Linked DNA regions of Drosophila melanogaster. The gene in region 3 interacts genetically with the main gene of each other region. Each region holds a gene or a part of one and is shown on either strand. Other genes may lie near its edges.

Region 1 (11,858 bases), on a different chromosome or scaffold from region 3:
ACAATTTTGTGATGCTGCCTTGCCTTATTGCCTCTGTGTGAATTCTCCTGTACAGTATTCGGATTTTGGGGGCTTGAGGCAAACGGTGGCAATCATTGCAGAGATACGGTCAATGCTTTTGCTTACATTTTTGCAGATGAGCTTGCGGGTGTTTTACGTTCAAGAAGCGTGGGAATTGCTGTGGTGGAGATGTCTGGACTCATTAATATTCTTCTTCTTTTATCTTCTTTCTTGCGTGCAAAGTCCTGCATTCTCCGGTTTGTCTGAGTTGTGTCTGGCAGTCAGTCCTGATTTTTTAGATTTTGACATTAATAACGTACTTCTTAGCGTCTAATTTTATATCATGGGTATGATTTCTGGCACGCATGTTATTGATGCTGCTGTATAGTTTCGCTTGCGGCTGTCACGTTTTAAAAGAATAAGGTGTAATCTACGAAAACTGAGCTTTTTATATTGCACTGGACATAGTTACAATACTCTTGCTTTAAGACAGATATCTGCACATACAAACATGTTCTAAACATATTCCCACGCAAATTAAAAGACATATTGTCGCCATTCACATCACTGTATGCAAGTTTCACACATCTTGAATTTAAGGATGTCTGTTTTTCCTATCCTTCTGGTCAGCATATGTGCCATTAGTCGCCGACGGCGCCGATTCAATGAAAATCTGCAAACTGGGTGACGCCGGCAAAGGTCAAAAGGCCCAGAAAATAAAAACGCCTCTTCTCAAAGAAAACACATGTGCTGGCACTTACAGCAAGCAGAGAATTCCATGTGTTACAAATTCGGATCTGAACATATTTTCGTAAATATTTGTTTTTATTTTATTTAAGTAGGCTACTGTTGGAAATCCTTTCACCAAACGCTTTTCAGAATATTTTTAGATCTATTATTTAATTGATATTTGATCCGATTCTCTATCTGAGACCATGTCCTTCCGGCCATGTCCTTCTGTCTGTTCACGTCAACTGCAAAAAATTGCACCCCGACCATTTAGAAAAATATACATACATATGTGCCCCTCGCACTTTCCCTATCTTAGTTTCTGAGATATCTGATAGAGGGAAGGAAATCGGCTATAGCGTTCTCCTTGTTGAATTATTATTAAGCTCACTAACTTGGGTCATTGAGTAACGAGTGTATCGGTAGAAGTGAGTTACGCAATTTCCATAACCACGTGCCAAGGCCGGTTGGTTCCACTACTAAACGTAACAAGAAGGAACGTGACGTCACATGGAGGGACATGTGCTTATTACGGCAACGTTATGTTTACTATATGAAAGGAATTTGAATTGAGACGATATCACTTTCAACTAATTTTTGATAATGATTTTGATCGAGTAACAAAGCCTTCTAATTATGCTAAATGGCTAATAGATAAAAGGTTATTTGATTTCGATGAGCTTCTCAAAAGCTGAAATACGCAACAAATATTACATTATGTTCCGCAGAAGGTAGGCATTGAGCATGAATATTCTCAGAAGTCACCACTACCTGACTTCGCTAGTTTTTCAAGAAATTTCCAATATCCCAGGCGTTTGTTCAAACTATTGGCAAGGACCAGATATTAGTCCACGCAGACTAAAAGCAATTAGTGATTGAGACGTTCCATTATCCTGCTCTTGTAGCTCCATGCCGAGAATGACAGGTAGAAATACCTATATGTGTATGTGCGCATGTACAAATGCATATGTGTTTTCAGGTATCGAATCGATATCCATTTTAATTAAATATATATTGCTATTTTTATTTCGGTAAGTTCTTTTTCAGAAGCCAAATCAGTGTAACTCGATTTGTGCATGTTCGTCAACACCATGTTGTCCGCAAAATACTTCTTCTGACTTGATCTTTGGTGAAAAGCACATATCTACATATGTAGAAGCCAAACTGACTTCATGTACTTAGAGCCCGTCCTCATACAGAAGCCAAATCAGTAACCGCAACTTTACCTAATTTTAAAAAAAATCTTTGCAAATGATTCCGAAGTAATTCTAGCTGGGGCGTACGGAAAAAATGGTTTACTTTTAAAGGAACAGATCAAATTTCGCCGACACGTACACGAACCATTTTTGGAAGTCCAGCATTCTTATCCTTGAACTTCCAGCTTGACAAAGGCTTGATCGCGACCTAAACGGCGGTAGCGGAGGACTGCTCAGGTTGCTACACTGGAGATTGTGAAGTCTGGGGTCTGTCCAATCGAAGAAAACAGGTTAGGCCGCAGCCCAATCGCATACTTTAAAAGCAGAACAAGTCTCTAAAAAAACGAAAGTCATCATTCAAAAAGCATTTCGCGCGACAGACTCAAACTCGTGCCCAGTGTACATCTGCTAAGGATATCAGACAAAAAGACGAAAAGAACCCTAATGATATTAGGGAACTGGCTCTTGCATTCATTCCAGCGGCAAGTTTTTTGTTGTGCGGCGTTCGAAAGAATGATCAGCAAATTTAAACTTTTTCCTAGAACTGATCTTTTTTTTATCCAAAACGTAAGGAGGTATTCATCCTGACTTAAATAAATTTCCAAATACAAGCATATACATATATACATACATAAATATAAAAGAAGCCATGATAATCCAACTTACAAAATTATGACGAGTTCTGTTTAAAAAAATACATACGTATCAAATAAAATATTTGTAAACTATCTAAGAAACTGACCATTCTATGCCTAAAAATCGAACAGCTTGTGCAATACTAAAATTAAATGTTGACATTATTAAGACCGTTGCTTTTACTTTCTTCGCCAGTGCCATCCGCAGATGAAATACATACTAATACATATTTTATCACGTATGCACAAATGAAATTGACGCTGGTATATGCGTTGTGTCCAGCAGCAATGTTGCAAGAAGAATAAACTGTTTTAATAAAGTCCTGATTATGATAGAGGCTTTAACAGCCTTATAAGTCAAACTTTGCAAAATGGAGAGCAGCCGAAATTAATTAATCTTACCTAATTCAATGGCATTTAAGATCTTTTTCTGTCCAAAATATTGAATGTATATTCATCCCGATAAGTTTACAAAAAGTCAAAAGACATTTTGTCATTGAAACATAAGTAAGGCCGCAGAAAAGTAATACTTGCAATCAATAAGTTGAATACAAATTTTTTCTAGTCGCAAATCTCAAGCGAGCGAATATTTTCATTCATAAAACTAATAATGTGGTAGTCAAACATGTTCGACAGCGAACCGATCCAGCGGTTCGTACCACAGTGCTGGCAGGTCTTTCTGCCTAATATTTCTGGTGCCAATAAGTTCAGAGGCCTAGCAAACTTAGCTGTTCAAAATTTTGCTTTAAAGTATTTATATATTTCTTGTAAAGATAAATACTTTATTTCTTATTAAGCATATAATTTACTTATGGAAGAAATATATTTTCTGGCTAAGGGCGCAATTTTTTTCAAGCCATACACACATTAGGACAACGGACTCTAAAAAAACTGAATGGTCAACACTGATAACCAAACGCAGTTCGACCGCGTGCTGCTTTTAGCATGAAGCCAGCCGGTCCCTGGCGCAGGCCATTTCAATCCGCAAGATATTTTCAATCCGTCAGATACTTTCGTTGTGAACAGTCGTGCTCCGGTCAGAAGATTTTACGAGAAATCGTGAAAATAAAAAGTTCTAATAAGTTGAAGATAGTGCCAAAGCTCACATACGGCTTAACCAAACCACAAATTAAAAAAGTGCCTTTAAACAATACGTGACATTTCAATAGGTTTATGTTAACATAAAGCCCGTAATTGTGAATAAATAAAATATAAGCCCACAAAACTATTCAAATACCGTTTTCGGATACGCGCTACTTTTAAAGTTCTTGAATGTCCTTCGCGGCTATGGCGAATACCAACACAGAAAAACTTTACATGCAACTAAGCGCATCGGAATTATCAGCAATTATTATGAAAGGTGGGTATTTACCTTTTGCACGAGCAAAGGACACTGCACCTGTTGCCTGCGAATTGTGCGGCACCTGCAAATACTTACATAAATATACACACCTACATACATAGGTTTTTTATGTCTTGCAGTCGGATGATTATAATCATTTCCCGCAAAATATTTGTCGACAATAATTTGTCAAATAGCTGTATATTCATTTTTGTAATCGAAACCCAAAAAGAACGAATACAATCATTAAGGCAAGGAGGCTATGGCCCAAGGCTATGCAATAGACACTGAAGATAATTGACGACCAACATTGTTAATAGGGGGTGCTGCCGTGTGCACCCAGAAAGCCCCACCAACTAACACGTTGCAGCAGAATCATATTAGCAGCAGACTTGTGAGGATGGCAATTAAGATGCAGACAGATACGTAAATAAAGCCAACTATGTGTCGCCAGCGTACTCCAACTTTCGTCTTGTGTTGCATATGTCGGCCAAGCACTTTGCCCGCAATGGCGAATTTGGGACGACGATGTCGCCAGACATATTGGCAATTTGTCTGTTTGTGAAGCTGGAGCGACAGTTGGACTCTGCATTGTGTGTCCCTTTTCACCACCGCCTGCTGATTGTTATAATGTTCGAGGACAGACGTTAACTCCTTCCATATTGTTGGTACTGTTTACGTCAGCATTTCATAAAATCGATTTTATTTTTTGTTTCTGTGATCATTTATTTAAAATGCTAGTCTTAATCAGCAACGTTTCGAAATGATTAGTCTAGATGGCCATTGGTTTGGATAGAATAAGGTGTCTTTAATTTAAATTGATCACTATGAGTTTATAAAAATTCCACTTATATTATTTTACTACATAACGCAATGTAGTAACAGGAAAGCCGAATGATATTGGGTTCGTTTTATAACCAACGTAAAAATGTCCTTACCAAGTGTGTCAAAGTACTGCATGATCTGGATGTGTTCTTACGATTCATTCATAAAAGTGATGCGTCATTTTACTACAATATATTTCATATAGTCGCTATAACATATTTACATTTATGTACGTATGAGTATATGCACTTGTTATGATAAGACGAGGCTTCCCACACAGGGAACGCTTCCCAGTGGACCGACCGCCAGCCAAAAGCCGCCTATGATGATAACCTTTCGTTGACTTTTGGCGTGAATATGGGATTTTCTTATGCCTCTGACAGTTAATGTCTGCCGTTTTTAAGTAGGTTTTAGCTGATTTTCGCAGGAGGGCATTCATTCTTAGAAAAAAAGGCCAATAACGGGAAAACCGTTGTCAATTTCTGAGCAAAACTTGCTATTTTGTACTTGGCACCTAAAGACGGATCAGATCCATAAAAAATAAACTAATTTGGGCGTACAAAAAACATCTTAAAATATTCTTAATATAAACAATCGAGAATAATACCTTCTTCCGTGTATACTAAAAATAAAATAAAATGTGCAGGTATTGCCCTTTGGTCGTTAGATGTAACTTTAAGTGTCTGATACGGACAACTTAAATATAAATTGGTAGAAATTTATTTTTTAAAAACTTGGCAAGCTTTAAAAATGTTTCCGTTTGGCACAGGTGTTTTAAACTAGACGACGCCTGCGAGGACGGTGGCTTAAAAGTAAACATTTGTCTAAATATAAATTAAAATGCGGTATATAAACCACGCAAGACATGGGATAGAGTTAGGGCTATAAAACTGATGTTATTTGTACAGCCTGATTTCGTGGCCGCAATGTCAGTCAGTTGCTTTGAATTTCGTTTCGTTGTTTATCTGCCTAAAATTAGAAAAGATAGCAGAATATTGTGCTTATAAATAGTTGAATAAACATGCAAAAAGCTTACCTTCCGTAAATGTGTGTCCGCACCGGTTCAAACAAACAGGGAATAAATTTACTCATTCTTAGCCAACTTAGCTTAAGTAATTAATTTAAAATTAATAACAAGTAATTATTGTATGTATGATTGCTGACAAACATATACATATATATAATGGATAGGCTGATAACACAATAATTGATTACAAAAAAAATTAGCTGTTGAAGACAAAGTTTTTTTTTGCTTAAATACCGGAATACTTATAAATATCCTAGCAGATTCTATACCTTTATACTTTGCTGGCACAACCAAAGTTGAAATCGCAAACAAATTCGATCCATGTATGTATGCTCGTTTATATGCATTGTGATTTTTTTTTAAATTGCTAACCGGGTTGTTGGCTTCTGATGCAGTGGCTGCTTCATGCTGAACTTGAACTGGCTTTATTCGCCAGACTTGAAATAAATTACTTTTAACAAGTAAGCTGCGTTTCGGCACTTCAATACTTGTGGAGGTCAGTGGTAAATTAAGAAACCTGTTTTGTTTTCGTGATCAATGCATAATTTCACTTTATATAATGGACTTTCTTCTCATGTAACCTCCGATTTGAATGTATTAAATAGATTTCATAGGGTGGAAGAACATATTATAGATAAGAAAATACGTCAAAACTACGTCATCCAATTAGTTTCGATCAGATGGTAATAAAAAATAGTAACTAAAGATTTGGGATTTATTGAATTTTGAAAAGTCGAAGGGGTGTCACACAAAGGCAGTCGCAGCCCTATTCGGCTTGCTGGCCTGTTCCGCGAAAACGGGGGTTTTTTTAAATTTACGAATACGAAATGCCAAACATTAGTAACCGGTTCGGCGTAATACGTCACAGATAGAAGATAACTAACTCTTAAATTTTTTGGTATTTTTAGATTCACCCAATTCCAACGACCGTGATGCGGGTTTTTGTTCCGCCAGTTCGGAAAGCGAAGGCGGAGACGACTTGGTCGTCGAGCACGCGCGCAGTGGCAGTCCCGACATCAGACCAAAAGGAACAGACTCGGCGGACTCCAAGCCAATAGCCCTTGTCCGCAACAAACGCAAGAGTTCGGAACCCTTCAAAGTCGTAGGTTTGACGACTCCCAACTCTAAATCCATGCCTGGTCCTCCGTCCAGTGCGAGTATGAATGCAACTGGTCCGCTAAAGAAACGCATACGATACACATCTTCCGCCGATTCGGCAGTTGTCCTAACGCCACCAGCCATAGACTCTCCACCGCCCAACAGTTGCATACCTTCCACGTTGCGCCTGCAGCATGAAATAATGCCTAATCCGGCACATATATATGTTCGCCATCCGGGAGTTACGACTCTTCACAGATCGCTTGCTGCCCACCCAGAACAGCTGGAACCACTCGCATTAGTAACGACCAAAAAGCAATGTGTCGACCAAGCGGGGCCTAAAATAGAGGCCTTTTCCGCATTGCTAATTGGAAAACAGCCATCCGCCAAAAAAACGTTGAAGGAAAGGACGCAAAAAGAATCAACGTCATCTTCCTTTTTAGAAGCTAGTCTTAGCGATGAGGATCTGAACAAGACGGGATTGGCACCAATTTCGCGACCTCATCAACATCAACGCAATTACAAGAATATGACTAGGGAGCGCCGCATTGAGGCGAACGCACGTGAACGGACCCGTGTACACACCATATCCGCCGCCTACGAAACGCTCCGCCAAGCTGTTCCAGCCTATGCCAGCACTCAAAAACTTTCCAAACTCTCCGTTCTTCGGGTAGCGTGTTCCTATATACTAACCTTAAGTAGAATGGCTGGCGAGGATTACAGCGCCGATCAATCCGTACCGTCCATTGCCACGTGCTTAGAAGCTGTAACATCAACCATCCAAACGGAGGGAAAAGTGAAACGAAAGAAAGACGAGTAATCTGTCCAGTTTCGTGGATAACTTACTTTTTTAGACTTTAAATGCGACTGATTTCTGCTATTTTTTTAAATATTTGTGCTTAAGCTTAGATTAATCTGCATACAGCATTCCTATCCACATGCTTTGATTCTTTGCCAGAAGTGGCCTAATAGCTTTAAAAGTTTTCAAGGCTTTGTTAGATATACAGACTTCATGAGTTTAAAAAAAAAATTTTTAAGTATGCCTGCATACAATTTGTATTTGATATTGACATTGTTATGAATAAATACTAGCGATGTGATCATAATTTAATCTCTACCTACAGAAACATTTTAGTCAGTACAAAAAGTCAACGCCATCTATGTACGAGTGTATAAAAAGACAATAATCGGCATCCTTAAAACCTATGTAAATGACAATAATGTAAACTATATATTTACCTAAAAAAGTTTCAGTTTCTTGTTTCAAACAGGATTTTTATATCAATTTACAAGTTTTTAAAAGAAGCTTTGCCAAAATGTTGTAATTTCACCATCAACTTTAGTTACCTTAGGACTGAATATGAAAATGTATATTTTTTTACATGTACCTCTATAATAAGATCAATTCTTCTTTTACGAATTGCATACAACAGAGATAATCAGTAGTAATTAAAAATCCGTAGTTACGAAATTAAATAAAGAATTTAACAAATTTCAGTTTATGTAAGTAACTGTAGACGTTTCCTCTTCAATTGTAATCTCATTGTTTTGTATACATTGATATATTTGTACCCATGTATACATTCATAAGTGTACGTGCCATAGAATCAGGAAATACACAAAACTTACTATAAAGAGAATGTATTTTTATATAGAGTTGGGATTTCAGGTGGTCGCGGTTAAAATATTAGTCATCTGGGTGCAAGCGCACTAAAGGAAACCATATAGAAATGACGGCTTTAAGGGTTATTTTATGTCTGTACGTTAAACAATCTTATCGTTTGCAACAAGCTATTTCGTGATATTAAAAACTCAACAGGTGCGCAAAGAACGGCACGCTATCGATTTAAGTACACCTGAACGCATCCACGTTATCGTAACGAGTTTTGGCAAAACTTAGTCCCCTTATCAGGTTCGGAAATATATTTGTCAGCTTATCTAGCAGGCACAAAGTTTACCAATATCACAGTAAGTTGACAGTGCATTAGAACTCATGACGTACTCTGAAAGAACTCAACACTATTAACTATGCATATTATTAACAAAGTAACTGCATCTAGTTGACCCAGTGCAATATCCAGAACAAATTACATCAGCTAAGAATCCTATAGAAAACAGGTTAAAAACAGCAATTTCCGATCAGTACATATATAATGACTTGAGCATTGGCGTTATTCAACAAAGAGCAGGTGGGAACTAGACCTGCAACTTACACATCTATATTAAAGTACCTCCACTTTCCTAATAAAATATTAATAAAACAAATTTAAGAAAATTTTCCCATTAATTGCACACACAAAATAGAGATTGCTAGGCCTATGGTATCCGTAATTTGTTAAGAAAAAAACAACAACGTTACTCCGTAAAATGCTGGATTTTTCAATGAATTTGGGGAAATGTGCGAAGGCCCTGTACAAATTAATATTAATTTTTCTTGCTTTAACATCGAATTTAAAGACAATCCCAGCCACATGCTGTGTTTTAAAATTTTCATTCTCCTGGTATCCCAATAATATTTAAAAAAATGAACATCTGCTCATATAAAAATGACTTCTAGTAGCAATGTTACAAATTAGCATTTGTGTAAATAAGTTAAAAAATATAAACTATAGTAAACCGGTGCATCACATGTCGTGACGAGATGTTATTTAAGTCGAAGCAAACTGAAAAATTGTTGCGCAAATATTGACTTTAAAGTCGTCTAAAAATACCACAAACAATTGTAGTTGCAGCTTTAAGTTATAGCAGACGACAAATATTGTCGCACCTGTCACAGGTGTGGCAACGTCTATTTCGGGGCAGTTGCCAGTTGCGCGTGTGCCTCACAAGGTGTTGGTGCGAGGGTGAGCCAATAAACTAAGTACTGTCTTGGCATCACATGCTGAGCTAGCTAGCGTGATCTTCTCATTTAATATGCGTACAAATTAGCACGATCAATGCTGCTTGGACTACATTGATAATTAACCAAAAATGTTCAACTCGTTATAGACGAGGGCTAAAAATAGATGCTAAATATCTCCGTTTTAGGATTTTCTCCAGCAAAGCAATTTTAAAGTTGTTCCTTAGCCCTTTGGTAACACATTTTGCAATATACTTGATACTGCGCTTTTTACAATAGTTGTGCATCCACAGAATATGAAATCATTGGGTTGAGACACAGCAATAGATATTTTTATGTAGCTGGGTGTAGGGATAGAAGAGCAGAACACTTTTCGCTATACAAGGAGGTAAGGTGGAAAAAAACTTGTTAGGAGCTTGTGTATGTGTACGTCAAGGCCTACAAGCACACCATTAGTTGGCGCCTAGATTGCAAGGCGCAATTGACAATTTCAAAATAAAACCAGACGACTGGTGGGCTCGTGACAGTCCAATAGCTGACCTAGCTAAAGTGAAGGAAAAGGAAAGAAAGCTATTAGGCGACGAATGGGACAGACTGTCTTTATTGCGTGCCAAATGGTTGTCTAGCGATTGCCGCGTAAAATATTATAAAAAAGAAATCTTTCAATTTGACTCATATGCACACATTCAGTCTGAACGAACCTAAATTCTCAAGAACGAAGTAAATAGCTTATTAAACTTTCTTTAATTATTAAGTTAATCATGGCTGCGTAAACAACTGATGCAATATTGAAAACGGATTACAACATTATGTATTTCCTTTTTTATTTTATATCACTTTTAAGGCCGGTTAACACGTCAAATGACTCATCCCCCGCTAACATATTTACGCATTTACATATTTCAACTGAAACCATCTGTGTCCATTTCCATTTCATTGCAATTGCCAAATCCATACCATCCCAGTAATCCAAGACATGGACATGCGCAATGAAATGGCGCCACCATTAAGTCCATACTTCTACGCAATATGCCCTGCTGGACCAACTCAGAATCCCACTCGCACTTGCCTGGCTGGCCCTTAGCAAATGTATCACCTTAAAAGAAGAATCTTTGTGAGCTTTTCGACATAGACACAACTTGGTGCAGGACATTTATGTTAAATTTATGTGTACGAGATTTATTAACTATAGAACTTATATACATACATGTATATGTGTACATATATAACATATATGTTAAAACCAATCATAGTTGCTGACTATCTGAAGACAATCAAATCTCTTAAATGGTTGCCCTTCAAGGCGTTATTGACTGCTTTTATGAAACTGAAAGTAGCAGAAGCAGACGTTGACGCCGCCGGCTTCTAGTGTATGGCATCGCAACAGCAAAACCGAAAATGGATGCGAAAGAACGATGTGTCCAACTACCATATGAAAATATGCAATCTAACGAGTGTAAGATTGATCTCGGGCGATATTCTGGGAATTCGAGAGCCGGTGCTCCAGTCTGATCACTGGTCCCTTACTTGGAGGTGCACACATTTAAACATGCCGGTATATATCCAGCGAATATATAAAGGAGAAACGAGCCGTTTAACCTCGTTTTGAGAAAATACCCTGCATCTATTTAATTCACGGAGCAACGAAAAAGAAGTATAAAAATAAGTTAAAAAGGTTATAACGTCCAGAAATACAGAAAAAACATTTGTACATCTAATATATGGATTTATGTATATAATGTGAAAAACGCTTTTTGTTTTGAATACTTCAATCTTGAGGCGTACTTTGAAATCCGGAATAAAATACCAACTATGTTTGTTTTGGCTTGCAATTGGATTTAACAGACCGAATTCAAATTGATACGTCCGATCAGTAAGTGCTAATCCTTGGATTATTACATCCACAATATAATAAAAACAATGGAGAGCAAAAAAAACGCGGCGGAGAGCCATATAAATATCCGCGGAGTAATTTTTCGATAACTTTGTTTTTGGCTTGCAATTCGGCATGAAAGGCACCAGGCTCAAGAACTCGGTTTCGCTGGATGCTTACGACGAATGAGAAACGGGTTGCATTCCGTTGACCATTTCAAACAATTGGCAGTGGCAGCTGCTGTGGCAAACCTTTGGGCACAGGAACACTAAGGGGACTAAGGAGGAACAGAGG
Region 2 (11,656 bases), on a different chromosome or scaffold from region 3:
TTTGGAGATGTAATTATACTGTAGTTCGGTTGCCGTCTCCACCAAGTTTTTGAACAATCTAAATACAAATACAAAAGGGTAAAATGTTAAAAGATAATATATTTAATAGCTCTAAAACTAAAGAATAACGAATTTTCTTGAGTGCGATATATCGATAGGTGCAGTGTGTCTGTATTACATTTCGGAAATCGATTTGTACAAACGCAACCGTAGTGCTCGTTGATCGATAACGGGGTGCGATAGCTATCGAGAGACCCATCTCCAACGTTCTCATACCTAAAATAAAAAGGCTGGAGGAATATCTCTTTCCCGACTTCTGATTTTACGTAAACCATGTCGAACTATATTGCCAGAAAGGGACCCGCAGTTCTCTGTAAGTAATACGAACGGGCAACAATCGGACTCACGTTGCATGCAACAAATTTCGTAGTGCAGTACGCCGGAATATTATGATTACGTAAATATGTAATGCGAATTTTTCCCCACAGCAAATCTGGGCAGATGGGCCTACAATCTCTCCGGATTCAACCAATACGGTAGGACTACTATATAACCTAGTGATTCCTAACAGCTGAGCTTGATGCCATCGATTTTTGCAGGTCTGCATCGCGATGATTGTCTGTATGAGAACGAGGATGTGAAGGAGGCCGTGCGCCGATTGCCCAGGAAGCTGTACGATGAGCGTAACTACCGCATCATGAGGGCCCTCCATCTGTCCATGACCAAGACCATTCTGCCCAAGGAGCAGTGGACCAAGTACGAGGAGGACGTCAAGTATCTGGAACCCTACCTCAAGGAGGTCGTGAAGGAGCGCGAGGAGCGTGAGGACTGGGAAAAGATCCACTAAACGCGCCACTAAATCCCTCTACTTTGGACTTGTAAATGTTGAAATACATAGCTTAGATAAATACCAAAATTGGCTATGAAATCGAGTCTGCGTGGTCGTTTGGGAATGTGGACCCTTCAGTTTATTTCAATGGGCTTTCGCGTCAAGGCGAGATGAGCGCGTTAAGTGATCATGAGTATGGGCTATTTGCTATGTTATATTTTTTATTTTTTGTGAGGCTCCATGCTACCTTACCTTTTGTATAAATGGTAAATTAAACAGCGATCCTAAAACAGGCACTCGGCCTAGGAAATTAATGGCCACGGGGAAGAAGCCGCTGAAAATATAAAGAGAAGGACATTAATAAGTAATAAGTAAACGACAAATCACTAAAAGAAGTTACTTCCACTTGTATTGCCATCTTGCACGTTTCGAAGTTAAGTTAAATTCTTATATTCACTGAATATTTTCCCTACTTTGAATAGATTTCCATTCATTAATCCGATATATATGAAGCAGACCTTTTAACGTTCGTTAAAAGATATTTTAATGAATAAAAAGACCTACATATATTAGGGTAATTATTAAGTTGCACCTTTGGTCGTAACTTATGAAGAAGCATGCAATTGAAAAGGTAAAAGGAGAGAGGTATAGATAGGAAAAAATGTATAAAAGGACAGAACAGAACAAAACAGACAGAAACAGCGAATAGTTATAATGAAGGACATACTTTTTGCTTTCTTTAGCTCTGATCAAATGCTATAAAATCTGATCGAGCTTTTTTTGTAAGCGAATCTGAAGAATTATACTTGGTATTTGCTGTTAATGCCACAGCGTCAAATTGTCCCATCTACATGACTTGCAGTCTTTCAATTAAAATATAAAATATTTCTAAAGGATGTCATCTGACAGCAACTTTGACTGCCAAGCCCTGACTTGCGAATGGTGTATTAAGAGCGGGAAAGCGAAAAGACCATGTGGAGTGCGTAACCGGTTAGCCCCGCTCAAATGGTCTTAAACGAATCCGACTGGGACTTGGCCAGGGTGCTACGAACCTGAAGAGTGCGAAAAATCCATAGGATTCAATAATCATGCCGAAGATGGGGAATCCCAGCAGGACGATGACGATTCCCCCTAAGAAGGCCGTTGTGCCTTTGACTTTGTGCCGTTGGAAGAAAAAGCGCATCGTGCGCTCCACGCCAATGACGCAGGCCAGGCCCGATATGAATAGAATCTGCGGGAAAGAGGCGATTGCTATTATTATAGAGCTCGAAGGGTGTGCTATATGGGGCATATGGTGCATGTGCATGTGGGTAACGTACATTGCCAATGGCGAGCAGTCCTTTATCGAACAGCAGCAGCATGCCGAGAAACAAAAAGAAAATGCCAAAACCAGCCAAGCCGATGCCAATTTCTGCGGGAAGATTTCAATAGGCGGTTTAGTTGCGCTGATGGCTTTCGCATATTAATGGCTACTTACTCTGCAAATCTGATATTTCAATCATTTTGTATTTGGCTCTGCTTTAATTTGATTTCAGAAAAAATTAAATCCACGTAAACACCAATTCAATTTCAAAGCACAAACAGCTGATTTCGACTTTCATTCAAAGTTACGTGCTAACGACTGTAAACAATGTTTGCAGGGATGCAAGCGCTTTAGTGTTGTAAAGCGATCAAGCTGCCGATTAATTATTTAAAACCTCTTGGATTCAGTCCATTTGGATGCAAATAAATGATAAAATGTATTAAATAAAACTATTTTTACCATTTAATACGTATTTTCCCACAAATATAATATTCGGCATATTTGTGTTCCATTCCCACACATTTCAATGATATATAGATAGATATTTCGATAGGCGCTACAAGACCCACACATACCAGCCCCCTTCGACGCACATCCCTAATTAATTTTCACACGCCATTTTACAATAGAATTTGTGACGATCTGACGCTTTCTTCAATTCGAGCAATTTGTACGCAGCGAGTTATTGAAACTCCTGCAATTCTATTGATTAAAAAAAGACTTCACGCAACGTTTATTAAACATGGAACGTAAGTATAATTTTAACACGCGCATAAGTCGCAACGTGAATTGAAAACGATGAAATATGTGCACTCTAGGTGGCGGTTATGGTGGTGGTTCGGGACAGGGATATAATAATTTCGCTGTCCCCCCACCAAATTACCAGCAAATGCCAAATAAAACGGGTAACTACAACGAGCCACCTCCGAACTACGGCAAACAAGGCGGTGGTAAGGCGTGCATGCGAACTTTGTGTTGCGAGCAACACACCAATACTCACAAACTTATGTTTTTAAGGTTATGATTCCGGTTCCGGTCATCGTGGTTCTGGTGGCAGCGGCAACGGTGGCGGCGGCGGCGGATCATGGAACGACAGAGGAGGCAATTCCTACGGGTATGTTATCCACTTTTAGTATTTCGCTGCTGTTGAGTTACAGCGAGGCTATTTAGATCATGGGTAGTAGTCTTTCACGGAGGTTTTTTAAGTGTTATAAGAGAAGTGTACGCATATATAAATATTTACAAATCAATCCAGCCAAACCAATGAGAAAAGACACCGAGCCACTCCTTGAAACATGAAGCGTATTTTAAAGATATTATTGAAATGCAAGAGATGCACTGTGCTGCATCAGAGTGTGAAACTGCTTGAAGCTATTCCTGCAACTACGACTTGTTCCGACTGCTTAAAAACGCAGAAAACATAAAATTATAACAACAAAAAAAAACGTATCTCCCAATTTGGCAAATTATTATTTATCCGCATGACTGTATTTCATGTACGTTTGTTTTTTTTTCATCGAAAATCTGTGTAAAAATATTAGAAAATGGTATTTCAAAATGGTTTTGACGAGTCAAATGAGTATAATGGTAAAAAAAAAAACAGATGATGCCCTGGGGAAACAAATATCTGCAATGCATAAATAATACTGGTTATACTGAATAAGTAATAATAAGTAATACCACAGTCGTTGCAATCGGAATAATAATGGTCGCCTAATGAAATCTATGATGAATTTGTGATAATTGCATAGAGAATCGCGCACATGTTATTATTATCGTTTTAAACCATACACTATATCATCCATTCCTGCCTTAATACGATACAATGCTAGCATAAACATGTTCCAAAATGAACATTCAAAAAATGTGTGTGTTCCCAACAGGATGGTTATGAAAACCAGATCAAACATGACACAAGTGTAATCGAAGATATAAAGCTAAAAAGAATATAAAAAATATCAACCAGCAATCATAAAATTAAATAAATTGTGGCTCGAGACAAAAACAATAAACAATAAAAAAATTCGATATATTATTAATGCACAGTTCGGAGGAATTGGTATGGTTCTGAGACTCTAATCATCTTAAGGTATTTACGTATACAAAAATAATAACAAATTTTAATTATTAGCTATTAAGGTTATTACATATGTTTATACACATAAGAAAGCAATGATTTTGCGCCTAAGAGAGAGCTTACCTCTAACAATCTAAATGTAAGATAGTTTTAAGCAATTTGTTTTATATAGTTTCAATCTCATTGACCGTTTTTAAGGTATTTTTTTTGTTTGTGATTTTAACAACTACTAAACTACTAAACTTTTGAATTATTTATCATTTAAGCTTGTTTTATAGTAGTTAAGCAAGAATGTAGGTATGTAGGTAGTGTTGTGTGTTTAATAACGATGGTATTTTGCTGCGATATACCTACTACATACATAAGTGTATTTAACTGGGTCGAACTCCTTCCTTCCCTCTCATTTCTGTGAATTTGGTAAACAAATGCTTTTCCAATAGTAGACTAATGCAAACGTTAAGATTATGTGTATAAGAGTTAGGTGTATGTATGGCAAACAGTATGTACGTTGTCCTCCTTGGCAGTTTGATCAGTGACTGCCGCCGCACTTGGCTCTAATTTTGTGATGGAAAGCAACAAAACGGACATTCGCTGTTTGAACGTCGTCGTCACTGACCGAACTGTGCCGGGTGCTCTATAGATGGTATTAGATGCCATAAGATCGAACAAAGCAATACGTATTCTAACAAGGGATCCTAGGCGTATACCTCACCATACTGCATTAAAACCAAAATCAAAGCATTAAATAAGTTATTCAATATCCTCTTTTAGAAATGGAGGCGCCAGCAAGGACAGCTACAACAAAGGTAAAAATAATGCAAACAATTGCAAACATATCGAGTAATGTATACCAATATTTTTCTACATATTGAACTTGAATCTAAAATCGAAGTAGAACAACAAAATTTTAAACACAAAAAAGAAAACCCAAACCGATTAGAACATAAAAACAGAGTCTAATTCCAAACCAAAAGAGTAAATAATTGAATATGCATATTAAACAAACATCCTCCTTTCCTGGCGGCATTCTTTTCATTGTGGGGCCTTGCCCATTTGAAATTTCGTCGAAAAGTCCACGCATCGTTACCTATAAAGTGTATTTAGCGTACTTTTCCAAATCGTTGATCTCTGTTTGATCAATATATAATGGTTAACGACCGACTCGGTCAGCCCACGGGTATTTAGTATTTAATTTCTGTAAAGTGTTGTATACATGTGTCAAAGCGTTGTCACGAATCAAATCAAGGGTTGGTCGGTCGGGCTAACTCCTGGCAATTTGGGGTCACCTGTTTGTGTTCTTGTGTACCAGTCAGTCTGGCTTTGATAGCTCAAAAGCCGACCGAAACCCGTTCAAAGTGTCCCCATGTCGTCTCTCCCACGGTCGTCCACCCACTAAAGGTTTTTTGAAATACACCTCAAAATTCTGGTTTCACATCTAAGTGTCCTGGTTAAAATGTCACGGAACAGCCGTCTACTTTGGTCCTCACCTTCGTTGCATTTTTTGGTGGTTGCAGTGAGGCGAGAAGTTCTAAGAAAAAAACAAAACAAAAAAAAGAAAATGAAAAAACCAAATATTAATTAAATAAAGTAGCAGTTGCATTCTAAGCTATACCCTGCCGTGCCAGCTCGTCCTTATTTCCCATTCGCTTTTGTAGGACACGGAGGATACTCGGGCGGCGGCGGTGGTGGTGGAGGAGGCGGCGGCGGTGGGTCCGGTGGCAACGACATGATCACCCAGGAGGACACCATCTTTGTCTCCGGCATGGATCCCTCGACCACCGAGCAGGACATTGAGACACACTTTGGAGCAATTGGCATCATCAAGGCAAGTAGTAATGTATTTTATGTATCTGTAGCTACGTTTTAACCTTTGTATCTTTCTATTCCTTTGCAACTGATCTAACAACAGAAAGACAAGCGTACAATGAAGCCCAAGATTTGGCTGTACAAGAACAAGGAGACCGGCGCCTCCAAGGGAGAGGCCACTGTCACCTACGACGACACCAATGCTGCACAATCCGCCATTGAATGGTTCGATGGACGCGACTTCAACGGCAATGCGATCAAGGTGTCGCTGGCCCAGCGCCAGAACAACTGGAACAAGGGCGGAGGCGGCGGCGGCGGTGGTGGTGGTCGCGGAGGATTTGGCGGACGTCGCGGTGGTGGTGGCGGCGGAGGAGGTGGCGGCGGCGGTGGAGGTCGCTTCGATCGCGGAGGAGGCGGTGGCGGCGGACGCTACGATCGCGGAGGAGGCGGTGGTGGTGGCGGCGGCGGTGGCAACGTGCAGCCCCGTGATGGTGACTGGAAATGCAACAGCTGTAATAACACCAACTTTGCCTGGCGCAACGAATGCAATAGGTGAGTTGAGAGTTGAGATATAATTGCTTTCAACATTCCATTCCATCATAATTCCTAAAACTCCACACTTGCTTGTAAATATCGTGGAGAACCCAAAGTGTAGACGAAAAACTTATCAGTGTTTGAAAGCAAGCAATTTTTGCTGATACGCCACATAATTGCCATAAGTCTTTATCTTTGGGGAACTACAAATTTTACAATCTTTGGCTTGCTACGATAATAATAATCACGTCCATTTGCAGATGTAAGACTCCCAAGGGCGACGACGAGGGCTCTAGCGGAGGTGGTGGAGGCGGCGGCTACGGCGGCGGTGGTGGCGGAGGAGGCTACGACCGAGGAAATGATCGTGGATCCGGCGGCGGTGGATATCACAACAGAGATCGCGGTGGCAACTCGCAGGGAGGCGGAGGCGGCGGCGGCGGTGGTGGTGGCTACTCCCGCTTCAATGACAACAATGGCGGAGGACGCGGTGGCCGTGGAGGTGGTGGCGGCAATCGCCGCGATGGTGGACCGATGAGAAACGATGGAGGCATGCGCTCGAGACCATATTAAGCGCATGGTAGCCAGCCGAACGCGGCACCTATTTTTTTCACTTTTACTTATTAATTGTAGCGAGAGTACGCTTTTAAATGTACTTTTAAAATTAACAGTCAGAGCAACTTTTAAATGATAATTGCCAGCACACGACTTCATTTGAACCGATTTTTATCCCAACACACACACGGTTATCGCTCGTTTTGACTGAATTATATTATATAATTATGTAATCTAATTTAACAACTGTAACTGTAACATGGTACATACGAATAAACATATATATATGTATACATATATAGCTCATATATATGTGTATATATATATATATATAGAGAAAATCAAAATCACTGCTTTGAATTCGGAAGTTGACATCATTCATTTCCAGCTTAGCTGACTAAGAAGGGGATTCCAAAGAATTCAATAAGTTCGCCTCGCCGAAATCTCCAGCGTAATTTTTAACAACAAAACGAGGAAAACTTGAAAAGTGACGCGTGCAATTTGTGGATAATTCAGCAACTGTTTCTTTTTGCAATAACAAAGGTGGTTAAATCCAGACTTTTTATTTTTAGAATTGCATTGAAGAGAATTGAGGCTGCTGCGCCCGCTATTTGCATGGATAACCGCTCACCTGCTGATCTGCTTTCAGAGAAGGTTGCTCATTATTACATTTTTGTATTATTTTCTTTTATTTTCAATATACATTATTATTATTATATTACAGTTCATCTTTTTCTAGCAGGGTGTAGCGATGCTTGGATGGGCCAAGTTCCTTGAATTTGGACTCTGGTGGCGATGTACCCTTGCCAGTGTGTGGGTCAGGTTCAATATCATTTGAGGGATCCGGCCCGTAATGAAATTCCCTGGAAAGCAAAGCAGCAGACCGTTTAGTAATTGAGCCCCATGGTGTTAGCAAAGGCGGCTGTATAACAATTACCTGTGCAGCTTGCCACTGTAGAGATCCTGAAGGAACTGCTTCAGCTTACCCGGCGAGTACATGTCACTGAAGTGGGGGAACAGATACATGTGCTTGAACGAGTCGATGGCAATCAAGGGCAAGTCATCCTCGGATTTACCCAGATGGTGCAGAGGATGCGCGAATCGCTTGCCATCGGCGGTCAAAAAGTTGACGTTCTCTGCAAAATTTCGAAAATACAATGTCAAACCAAATGCTTATATGCAAAGTAAACAACACGATGATTCATCTTACGTTTCTCATCCAGCAATTGACGCTCAATGATCGACTTGTAATCCTTGATAGAATTATGATCGGTTGGGTGGTGGAAGAGAATTAGGAACGGCAGACCCTCCTCCGTAAGTTCCTCTGCATTCTCAAATGTTATTTCCCGCACCAGGGGTACACACTTCTCTTGGACCCAAATTTTGAGCTCATCGAAATTTTGTAGGCTGCCAGTGTAGGTCTCATCGTTCTCATGAGACAGAGCTACATCAGGTCTAAATACTATGATAGGTGTACCTGTAATAGACCAAAAAAGCTGACATTCAGTATTGGCTTGGCATGACTTGGTGCGTTTGATAGAATTCACCTGGTGGATGCATGGCCTGGGCGGCATCTCCGAAGCCCACGTGGAACTGGCAGTCTTCCTTCAGATTTGTCGCCACCTTGCGGAATATGTCGTACTCTGGCTGGTCCCTACGATCGAAGTAGCCCAGAATGAGGCGCTTCTTCGAGTCCAGGTTCTCCAGATCCTTCAGGGATTTGAACTCCTGAATGGGATCCTCCAGCTGCTTCTTGACGAACTCGAGGAACGCTTCGGCTGAACGCTGTCCTCGGTATTCGCGCTTGCTGAGCTGCCCATTGCGTACAATTTTCAATGTTGGATACTTGTTTATGTGGAAACGGGACGCGATGGCCGTTTCCTTGTCGCAATCGACCTTGCCTAGCACCACTTTTCCAGCCTCTGGAAACTCCTCTTTAATCTGTAAGAGAAATTCGATTGAATGCCACGTATTTATTCGATATAAAATGTATATGAATGTATCGCATTGTTTGTAAGCTTTTACTGGCGATCCATTTGACTCACCTTATCTGCAGCTTCCGCGAATATAGGTGCTAAAATATTACTAAACCGACACCACTCCGCATAAAAATTAAGGAAAACCAATTCATTAGACGCTGCAAGAAAACAAAACGTGTTTTTAATGTAGGCACCAAATTGTGTGTAAAATTGTTGATGCGTAGAATACAACTCCGTTCAGATACTAAATATAATAACTTTTAAAAACATATATTTGGTAATATATTTATATCAATATTGAATTACGGGTTTATGTATTAATAATTTAAATGCATATGTATTTTTATGGAATATATTTAAATTTGTCGCTGAATATACATATTAAAGTCAAGAAATTTCTAGCATCCTACTATTCCATAACTTCCGAAAGTTAAAATTTAAGGGGTGCAAGCCTAAGGCCAGGCTTTACTGTAAAAGTTAACGTTTGGATAATAAAAAAAAATAACTTTAAAAAAACAATATAGTATTACCGCAGGATTGTGTACAGGACACACCGTATAAAAAGGACCTATTCATGCAAAGACCAAACTTCGGACATTCTGAGCAAAGAACTGCCGACCAATGGCTAGTGCCCATTTTGGCGGACTATCGGACCGATGCAGCATGAAATATAAACCGCCCTAATTAAGTTTTATCCAAATTCCACACCTTGTCCTTTACGAAAGCGCATAAAACTTATTTTACCACGTTGGCAGTGCCGAATTGAGCGAGCCAGTGATTTTGTTTAGTGACACGTCAATGGGACAAGTCGGCTAATTGATTCCCGCTCACGCTGGCAGCGGGAATGGCATGGGGATGACTGTGATGGTTATGGTATGGGCATATCTCACCTAGGGTCATATCGATATTATCACTGGTCATGGGCACGGCTCCGGCGGCATCGGCCGGCTGTGTGTACTGGAGTAGCTGTAGAATCTGTAAATTCCATAGGATGTCAGTTCTGGTTAGTTAGTTATTTGGTTAGGGGGAGCCAAAAAAAAGCCGGGGCTGTCTGGCCGGCCCCTCCCCACTGTTTCCCCGCCCGCTGATCGAGCGGGTGAGCCACTCCAGTGACCAGCAACATGACCAGACAGAACGGAACACGTCGACTCACCGCAACTAGGGCCACACACGGCCCAAGCTTTCCGATTCCGATTCTGGCTCCAAACATTCTTGTTCGGCTTCCGAATGGCGAATGCGGCTGGCGAGGAGTGGGCGTAGAATTGCGTGCACCGGCGGAGAGTCCAAGCGATCGGTTCTCTTTTTTTCTGATTTCAGTTACACATCAGCTGGAATGGAATGCAAACGTACGCACAATTATTAAGTTTTACAAATTTTTGGTTGATTTTATCGGCTGGCCAGTGTTGGTTAGTCTCGAATGCACATCTCATCGGCAATCGAGTAACGATAGCTTAGTCACATGACTTGGCCATCGCTAACAGCAGCGATAACAGCGATAGCAGCAAACAACGATAGCAATTTCAATGGAAATGAAACAAAAAGTGTCTAAATGAATACATATGCATACATATGTATGTGCAACAACATTTGCAAATCTTTGTTTATAATAGCTGACGCTTATGGATTTTATGGTGGTAAATAGAGCGAGAAAATCTAGAAGCCAAGCGCGTTTTCAATTCGGCAATACGTTTTGAGCTAAATACCCCGAAAAGTCTGCTGAGCGAACGGTTTGTGGAATCCAAAAACCAAATGTGTGTGCATACATATGTACGATTGTAATGTGTTATTGTTGCTCCCCGAAATATCGAAACACAAACATACCTACATAGACAAATATACATATGAGTTTATGCAAACATACACATGCGTAAATGTTTAATTACTTTGTTTATGACAACATACACGGCCATTAGAATACGTTGAGTACGATAATCGGCCATTTTTCGCCTATTGGCTATGAAATCGTGATAATCTAGTCTATTGGTATATATGTGCGTGCGTATGTAATGCAGCGACACACAAATATGTGCATACTATATATTGCGCACCTTGTGGAACTGCAACTGTGTGTGCTCACATAAATGTATGTTCATTGTACATTGTACATCCATACGTGCATATATATGCAGTGCATTATCTATATTGCCACCACGACACTCAAAAACTCAAATATTAACTTCGATTTGTTCTAAAAGTGTTGATTGTGCCCAATTTATCATCCCAGTGACATTTATTTGGCTTTGTTTGTGCACTGCTTAATGCACATGCACATATGTGCATAGTATTATTTATTTATTTATGGGAGCCACTATACTATACGTATCGAATCGTCCCAATAACATCGCACACACACTGTTGTGCGTAATTATGTATTCGGATGGTGGATATAAGAGATATATGCACTTATAAGCGATAACCGGATTTCCAATGACACCCAAATCGCCTTGCCTAAATATAAGCAAATAAGTAATTTCGAATACGTTACATGTTAAGTATTCTTTTAGCCGATTCACACAATGTCCGATGGATCACCGCCTCCATCGATTTGCTTTATCCGTGCCGCCGAATCGTATCCA
Region 3 (9,380 bases):
TAAACTTGAAAAACTTATCTAAGCTCGTGAGTCACGCGACCATCGCTGCGGTAGATGGACAAAAGTTAATCACCGTTGCCGTTTAGCTCAGTGAGCTTGTTGTTGGGGATCTCGTCTGGGAGCTGGAGCCACATATGCTATATGGTGTAGCTGTTGGCTCGCATAGTTTACATTTTATAAGTTAATTGAGTTAACTGTGCAACGCTCTCACTTTGTGGTCATTTGCAGATGCAGATTGGTCGGGTATCCGCCAGATATACGCTACGATTGCATCTATCTATCTATATAGCTATCTATCTATCGGATGCAGCGCTGATCATCGGGAGCAACTATCATCTATGGGTGGTCAGTCCACAGGCCCTTGGCGAGAACCGTTTTAATTATAAATACTTTCTCGCCTTTTTGTCGGCGTTTGTAAATCTGCATAATTCGTGTTGTGGTTGCAGCCATTAAAATTAAATAAAACCCGAAGGAAAAAAAATGCAAAACAAGCGGCGACCAACAATTTCTGCTGTTTAATTGCCAGAATATTTGATTTCACATACATATATAAGCGTTTTCTATGTTTTTTTTCTTATTGTGCTATTTGTCGGGCATTTTTGTGTTTTTCTCGATTTTGGTTTTTCAGCTTTGGTGATTTTATTTTCCTTTTTTTTTTCACATTGCGTCAATGCAAAATAATAACCCAAATAGCTGTGATAACTCTTTGTAAACGATTTGCATTCGGTTTGTCCGTGATTTTTGCTTAATTCTATCATAAATACTACATGACAACGGTGCGATGCATTGGATCAAATGGTTTCGGCTGAAACATACTCTATTTAACAAAAAAAAATATTGATAAAGAATATAATCGAAAAATCAAACATCGGTGTGATTTTTTAGCTACGTATATTTAGTGCGCTTCCTTTGAAACTAAATTGAAATTGAAATATGTCGCAAAGTTTCAATTAGCTGAGATCTGATTAATTACATTGCTAAACACAATCTTCCGCTTTTAAATATTTATCACATGAGAGTCACACTTTTTGCAAGTGCAAATCGCGTATACAAATTGTGTCAATGGCTCGGCTTTGATAGTTGTCGACCAACTTCAATTGCTGACGTCAAAGACTTTGGCCCACGTTTCGTGTGAAACTCGTTTGGGACACCTCACCCCTTCCCTCTATGGGCCACCAATCGATGGGGACTTCAGGTGTTCGCATTGCGTGGGCCTGACTCACTCAACAGAACCCCTCACCTCAACGCAATTCGAATTGGTTTGGGTTCCGTTCTCTAGAGAATGTGACCCTGGCTGGGTTCCGTTTCACTTTTCGCCAGATTTTGTAAATTTTCAATCTCTTTTATTTGGCTGCTCTTATTAAAAGCATTTGTTGAGACCGCTTAGTGTCGATTCACACGTCAGATGCATGCCTACAGTGCTCACTCGCTAAGTGGGATCACTATTATACATACACCTGTGCTATCGATTGTTACAAATGAATAGTGTGTAATTTAGAGTTCATATACTTTATATACTGAATAATCTGAATTTTTGTTTGATTAATTTGTATTTATAATAATTTGTAGCACTGTATGTGTATTTGTATCTGTATCTATGGGATGCATTCTTAGCATGTTTGTTTGTGGTTTGCACTGCAGTTTTCGCAATCGTTTGCCTTTGTTTTTGTTTATCGCCAATCCGCGAATCTTTGCTGTCTTATCTTCTTCGGTTGCTCTTCTTTCGTTGTTTTTTTCAGCTCTCTCTTTCTTTTGTTTCATTTTCACCTCTTTCGAAGCACATTGATGAATGAAAAGCGTTGGTGAGAGTGGTGGTGAAGACAGGTGAAAGGGGGGAAAAACGCAAATCGCCGATAAGCGATGAGTATGCGGAGTTCCCTTGGTGGCTGCACTTTTTAGCTTGTGATTCATATTCCGCTGTTGCAATTGCATTTGTATTTGCACATTGCGCTGGTTAGGCACTTTTCCGGCCGAAATACCACCCTCCCCCCACCACCCTTCACAGATACGTCCCTGTTCTTCCAACTCCAAGAAGAACCCCCCTTCTGAGTTTGGTGTGAAATATTTACGTGTAGACAACATTCCACTAACTGCAGTTGCAATGGCAACTAAAGTTCCCGTCCGGGCGAAGCAAACACCGTTTTCCACTTCTCCTTGGCATTTTTACCCACATTTATTTTCGGTGCATTTCCGCCTGCCATTTGCCAGGTTGCCTTATCCTACCTGAGTTTAAAAATATAAAAATAAATCTGAGGGAAAATGGTTGGCACTGCAAGTGAAGTACCCTGGAATTGATACTGCAAGCAATATATGTACTAAGATATGAATAACAACATCTAGTCGCAGTATAAACAAACCAAATATCATTTTAATGACCAAAAGTTTGAGTTTTCCCATTGAATAATTACGTAGCTTCACTTGCACCATTTTCCGAGCAATCCGACTGGTCAAGTTTGTGTAGAAACCCACACCAGATGCATGTGAATCCCAATAGACTTTTGCACCCTTGGCTGCTCCATCGAGGGTATTTGGTAAAAGGAGTTCCTGCGCTATTCATCTGCGCCTTAGTTCGAGCATAAACATTTCCTAAACTTTTATCTAATTCAGCAAACTGCAGCAACAACGTCAGCAGCTTCATCCATTTTGCAAGATTCCCAAGACATTTCCACATTTTCCGACTCATTGTTCTTGTTGTTATAGTTATTGTGTGCTCCATCTTTGGACTTTTGTTTTTCTTTATTTATTGTTTTTTTTTTGTGTGTGGATCTCTTTTTTCGCATTTTTAGCGTGTTTCAAGTTGTTAGGCATTCAACTTTTCACATCGCTGCTCTGCTTATTTTTTGTTTTTCCGCCGCGAAGGTTTTTCCTTCAGCCGACTGTGTGTTGTTTTTTCGGACTTTTCGTTTCGCGTCGGTTTTGTGCAACACACACACACACACACGCCACTCGAGTTCTTTGTTTGTGTCGCTTTGAGACTTTGGGGCGCCTCAGCGTGGCGGGGGCGTGGCTGGTCGGTGGGCAGTGGGGGCTGGCGGGGGTGCAACTTCGAATGGTTGCATAATCCGGCAATTTCTTACGGAATTTATTCAATTTCTGAAGCACTAACTAGCAGCATATATACTTGTTATTTGAAAGTTAAATTGATTAGCTTAAAAGTTGAAAATATTTGTTAACATTTTTGGTTCAGAAAAGCCTAGTTGCACAACAATTTTTTACACACTATTTCGCTTCTGCACTGATTTATGAGCTCTATTTTGTATGCGTTTGTGCGAGTGAGTATCTCAAAGATACCATCAATGTATCTGTATCTGTATCTGGAGTGTGTGCGTGTGCACCTTGGCCGACAAGACAAACTACAAAACTGCTTGAGCCATTGTCTTGCAACAGCTCAACTTGAAATGTCTGCCTAGATTAATGCGAATGCGAGAGGGTCTGACACTAATGAAGGTCAAAGGTGATCCAAAAGGGAAGAGCGGTGAAGGGGTGAAGGGGTGAAGGGGTGGTGCGGAGGTGGAGACAGCTTAAGAATGATTAAACACTATAAACTGTTGACTTCTGCGCTGGAAAATGGGGGAGAACGACACAAATCAGTTGCTGAATTTAATAGCAGTCAGAAGTTTTGGCCAAATTTAGTTCAGCAAACGGAAGCAAATGGTAATTAAAGTCTTACAACTTGGATAGTAATTTTAATTCACAGCTTTCCTTTGATACAAATATGACTTGGGAAACTTTTTTTTACCATATATCTTTAAAACTTTTTCACTTCTGCACACGTTAGTAAAAGAAAAGTGGCCCGAAAATGGGTAAACAAAACTAAGCCACCCTGAAATCAGGTCTTTGGGTCTTTTTTCGACTTTTTTTCATTTTTTTTTTTTGTTTGTTTCGCTATATTGTTTTTATTTTCGGCGTTGCCTCTCTCACTCTGACGCGTATAAAAGCAAACTTGACACATTTAAAAACTATATATTTACAAACAAAAAACGAACAAGAGACACGAAAAATTAAAATGCATTGCGTATGATTTTTTCAAGAATAGCCAACGCATTAATTTTTTCGTATTTTCATGCACTCGACAAAAACTTCACCAGTGACAAAAGCCCAAGGCAGCCCCAACTCCCCTGTCATTTTGTCCATGATTTGTGCATCTGAAACGGATCTTGGTTTTGATTTCCATTTCGATTTCGAGACTTTGGCACTTTTATGTTTAGCAAAAGTTTCACGAGAATAGAAAAATTTCGGAAAGTGAATAAAATTCGCATCGTTGCGATTGAATGAAATACTTTTCGAGGCTGCGTAAATAAATCAAAGTGTAAACAAAAGTGAGCCAAATGTGGCGTCTTCTCGCCCTGGAGACACACGAACTTGGTGGGTTTGGTGGCAAGATGGATGGCCAAACTGGGAGCTCCGAGGACCGCCCACACGCACAGACAGACCCTCTCCATCGATCGTTGGCCACTCCTGCCTACACGCACATGGGTTTCCATTCGAAAAGAGACAATGGAAATCGAATAGCCAACCAACCAGTAGCTAGCTGGCCAAGAAGTTCTGGCCAGAAGTTGGCCAGAAGTAGCACTTGTCCGAGATCCCACAAAAGATATCGAAAATGGAGCAGGGCAGCCCACACATACATATATATATAAAAACCGGGTGACCCGGGGGAGATTTCAACGGAAAGTGCTTGCCATTTGCTGACAGCTCGGGCGCAAACGGTTTTTAGTTAAATCCGCGCTCCACGTTGCGTATACGCAATGTGCGACTGGTGGCTGGCTGGGTGGGTGGGAGTGGTTGGTAGCATTGCAGTTGGCCCGTTGCAAACGGCAGCAAATACGGATGCCGAACGACAAGCACAGATGTTTTTACAACCCAAAAGATACAAAGCAGACAGAGATACTGATGCTGAAGCTGCTGCCGCACTGACAGATGCAGATTTACATGCACTGAAAACAAAAACTGCGATGGCTAACTAATAAGATTGGTTTCTGTTATAAATAGAGGATGGATATTAACGGCAGTAAAAGAGAATATTATATATTCAGTGCGATAATTTTTCGCACCATGAAGTACACCTTTATTTTTTGCAGTGCTCGCTCTAGTCAAATACGTTCAGCTCAGCATGGTTGAGTTTGGAGCTGAGTTTTGCCAAGTTTTAAGCCGATGGATTTATTTTTTTGGGGGGTTTTGCCGGGATCTCCGTGGGTGAGATATGGAATAGATGGGGGATTGAGAGTGGGAATCCTAGGCGGGGGGTGTTATGACTTACCGAGGGGGGTGATGAAATGGTTGACTCTTGTGCAGGCCATCCGGGGGGGGCAGGATTATGTGAACTGGTTGCAGCTTCTATTTTTTATTTCTTTCGAGGATGAGCGACAAGTTACTGCGGCAGTCGATCCGAGCAGTAAATGCTACGAACGGTACGAATGTTCGGTGCTTTTCCACTAAGTTTTTCCTCGGTGGTTTTTCTCTACTTTTCCAGTGAACCGTTAGTTGCGCGTGCTGCCGCCGGTTGCCGTTACAAAGTACCGTTCACAACTGAGCTCGTTTTTTATGCGGCCCGATACTTTTATAGATTCGCAAAGTGCCGGCCTGGCCAAAAACCGAAAGGGGTAGAGCCTCCTTACCGGAGGGTTTACATGTGCACAGTCCGCTGTGTTAGTTGTGCGTGTGTTTGTGTGTGTGTGCTTTTTTTCCATTTTGCACCCCTTTCGAAAAGCCGGCTCTTGCTGGCCAAGGTAAGAAACCCCCCCCCCCCCCTGCAAACCGCCTCCCCCTTTTAAGCCACCCTTTTGAACAATAAAGCCAGGTGCAGCAAACATGTTCGAGGTTCGAACGCGTTGCCAAGTTTTCCTTTGTCGTGGCTTTTTGCTTTTTTTGGCCACCATCCGGTGAACGGTACACGCAAAGGAGTCACGTGAGGAAGTGAGATGGGGCGAACGAGTGAAAGGGAGAGGGATAGCCAGGAGCCAGCTGGCTTTTACCGGCAGCTGCAGGTGCGACAGAGAAAGTGGAGAGACGGAGAGCGAGAGGGAGACAGTTGCAGATGCAGCCGCCGACGGATAATTAACAAGTCACTTATTAAGTTAGCATCTTTGTCCCCTTAATCCATTTGTGAAACAGTGTTTTCCCTTTTTGGCTAATTAACTCAATTATTGCATTACCAAATGTGAAACAATTGGGGGAAACAAAAAAAGCGAGGCTTATGCCTCAAATTATATCTGGCCAATGTTTTTTCGTTTGCAAACTGATCTTGGTACTGTAAAAAAGTAAAAGTTTATGTATAATTAGATAGATTTGATAAAAAAAACACCCAACGTTGATTTCTTGCCCCTGATAAATAAATCAAAGCACTTCGGTCGCAGCTGCTGTTTTCGCCTTGTTTATTGGGTGTCAATAGGTGCATCCATCAGATACAAGACACGAGATACAAGATACAAGACACGAGATACGAGCTACCACCAGCCACGAGATACTTATTTATGTGGGCTATCTCTGGCATCTCTTGGGACCAGTCATCTCTTTTGTATCTGAACTTGTTAACATATCGAGTATAATTTTGATGTGTTGTGGCCTCCTTCCATTTCCCAGCTCAAATAGCAAATAGCAAACAGCAAACATCGAAAGGGCCCAGATACACTTAACAATTGCAGAAACATCTTCATCAAATGGGCCTCATTCTGCTGCCGCTGACAGCTGATGAGGGCGCTGCCCGACCCTTTGTACCGCCCTAGCCCCCTCTCACTCCCACACAGCAGCTATCTCGCTCGCTCGCCCTGCGAATACCACCTCGAATCGCGCAGATTGGATTTGAATTGACTTCAAGATGAATAAGGTGGCAGTTGAATAGGGTCTATGGACCCCCTTTTTTTATGAAATTAAGGGTGCCAAGAGGATAACTGTTAATATAATATAGGGGTGCTGTTTGCAATTTGAATTAAATGCAAGCTAGTTACTATAAAATAACTAAAACTAAGATTAAAGTTTCTTCCACATTACTAGATAGTTAATATGAAGAAGGTAGCTCGATAATAAATTAAAAAGGCACCAAATGCTTTGGTTTAAAAGTTAGCACTAAATACTAGCAACGACTAAAAAGCTTATAATTAATATCTTGTGCCGCAAATGTTTTTCCAGCGCGACCAAAGAAAACACTTTCAATTCAATTCCATTACGCGCAGTCGTAAAATAGAAAACACAGGATAAACATTTGCCCATAAAAATTGCATGGGCTAAAAAGACAATTTTTTAAGCTGTCATTTTTTTCGTGTTTTGTATATTTTTTTCCTCGCTCATTTTCACTCTTGCCCATTTATTTTTTTATATTTTCTTCAACGTGTTTAATTGCACAAAAAAAAATGAAGAAAATGAAACGAAAACAAAGAAAAAATCATAAAAGCCAAAAATAATACACACAAAAAACAAGGTGAAAATATTGCGCAAAGCAAAAATAAAAAATCACAAAAATAACAAAAGAGGCTACAACAAAAATCAAACAAATTCAAACAGCCAGCGAAAAGCAAAGGCAAAAAGCGATTTATGCAAAACACAGATAAGCCGAAAAGTACAGGAAAAAAAAACAAAGACGATTAGGCGATTTAACGCACGCAAAATAAAATCCAATAAAATGTGATTACGGTTGGGTGGAGGGATGGAGGGGGAGCGAAAGGGACGGGGCGAATCGAACAGATGTTCGAACAACAAAAACATCAAAAATAACAGTGACATGCAGTGACGTAGGCGATGAAATTTCGGGGGTTTTGGGGCAAAAGCAAACACCTGAAATCATTGAAATGGAGGGGGGTTGAAGAGGGGAATACTTAATTTATTAAAAATATGCCTAATGTGTTTAAAGGATATTGATTGCAACCCCCCTCAAAATATCCTGCGAATGCCACTGTCGCTTCGCCTTCAACTTCTTCTCGTGCGCGTTGTTGTTTATTTTGTTTGCTGCTCGTGCCAAGGAAAGAGATGGCTAGCTGCCAAGATATCCTTTGACAGGAAGAGAGCGAGGAAATCAAGGATTTCGGCCAACTAGTTTTTCGGCCTCACCTGCCTCTGCCACATGCCGCTGCTCAAATTTCGTCTTTTTTTTCGCACTGCCTCCGCTTCTTTTAACATAAAATAATTATTATGACATGCACCGTCCCTCCGAACCCCCTAACTCCCTTTACCCAGCGTCTGCTTCCGTTGCAGACGGCTGAAAAGAGAGGGCAGGTGGCGGAGCGACAGGGAGGGCGATATAGGCATTAAAAACTGCAGAAAAAAAAGAACGAGAATCGAAGTACAGTAGCATAGATACTATTTAGATTCAGTATCTTAAACTAAGCAATTGTTTTTGATAATCGTCATCAGCGAAACGAAAATAGCATTCAACCACTTCCTATAAATACCATGATCAATATTTATATAAATAAACTCAAACAAAAGGCACCAAGTATATGAAAAACTTTCAGTAGATGATACCAAAAAGTGTTCTATATATTAATATCTTAAAAAATTCATATCACCAATGTATTTTAATGAGAAAGTGAGACAGACACAATGTGCACGAAGGAGACAGAGGACACAATCTGCTGCAGCTGCGAATATGACGAGTGGCATTGTAAAACAACTCTAGACTCTAGTGGCATCCCCTTCCCCCCAAAAACCCCTTTTTTAAAACACACTCTGCGCATACAAATTCGAAAGTGTGAAGAAGGAGAAGGGGGGGGGGGGAATGGACTGGGGCAAACGGAAAACGGAAAGTAGCCGGCGGTAATTTTATTGAGAAATCCGAATGGAAGAGGGCACAAGCCAAGAAGTACGAATGTTTAAGGAATGCAACGCCTGCCGCATAATAACAACAACAATGCCAATGCAAGTATCCGATTCGAGTATCTAGGGAATGGGGTATCCAAGTATCTTTCAGATGCATCTGCACAGTGGGTACAACAAAGTTGCTTCCACAACAAAAAAAAAAACAAACGGCAGAAGAATAGAAAAACAAGCAAGTTGCATGCTCTTATACGGCCAAACATGTTGCGCTGCTCCGTCTCTCAGTTGTTGCAACAGCTGTTCGAACACGTTGCGTAGTAGTGTGAGTATAAGAGAGCCACAACATGTTCGGAGACAAGTGATGGATTCGCTGTTATAAGAGGAGGAAACTGGTTGTAGTGGAAGTAGTAGTGGAAGTGGAAGTGGTGGGGGAGGTGCACCAAAAGATGAATGACTGAGGCAGCGAAACACGATCATTCATGATCGGTGGTGAAATAGAGTCAGATCTTTGTGCCACTCGACTGTTTATTTCATTGTTAATTGTTAATTCCTCTGTAATTACATGAAATTCCAACAAAAACAGGGAATTTGATAAGAAGCTCTTTACTTAACCCAAACTCCGTTTAATCATT

The links.
Region 1: of ru (region 3) and net, changing one enhances a phenotype caused by changing the other (phenotypic enhancement), as found in Drosophila melanogaster (one study listed by BioGRID).
Region 2: of ru (region 3) and caz, changing one suppresses a phenotype caused by changing the other (phenotypic suppression), as found in Drosophila melanogaster (one study listed by BioGRID).

The regions. Positions count from the first base shown.
Region 1 is NT_033779.5:79,082-90,939, reverse strand, and holds net (net), read left to right. Parts: upstream 1-3,552; 5' UTR 3,553-3,847; coding exon 3,848-3,920; intron 3,921-6,662; coding exon 6,663-7,672; 3' UTR 7,673-8,519; downstream 8,520-11,858.
Region 2 is NC_004354.4:16,286,077-16,297,732, forward strand, and holds caz (cabeza), read left to right. Parts: upstream 1-2,733; 5' UTR 2,734-2,874; coding exon 2,875-2,881; intron 2,882-2,950; coding exon 2,951-3,082; intron 3,083-3,149; coding exon 3,150-3,246; intron 3,247-4,980; coding exon 4,981-5,015; intron 5,016-5,864; coding exon 5,865-6,034; intron 6,035-6,118; coding exon 6,119-6,567; intron 6,568-6,809; coding exon 6,810-7,119; 3' UTR 7,120-7,444; downstream 7,445-11,656. Other genes in the region: CG32576 (uncharacterized protein), read right to left, coding at 14-58, 1,082-1,163, 1,882-2,060, 2,149-2,240, 2,307-2,331; UQCR-14 (Ubiquinol-cytochrome c reductase 14 kDa subunit), read left to right, coding at 334-373, 489-536, 600-847; ERp44 (endoplasmic reticulum protein 44), read right to left, coding at 7,820-7,964, 8,039-8,237, 8,312-8,578, 8,649-9,042, 9,147-9,238, 9,971-10,055, 10,234-10,290; CG3632 (uncharacterized protein), read left to right, coding at 10,700-10,714, 11,585-11,656. UniProt on the Drosophila melanogaster protein: May participate in a function common to the expression of most genes transcribed by RNA polymerase II.
Region 3 is NT_037436.4:1,366,761-1,376,140, reverse strand, and holds the start of ru (roughoid), read right to left. Parts: upstream 5,514-9,380; 5' UTR 5,261-5,513; intron 1-5,260.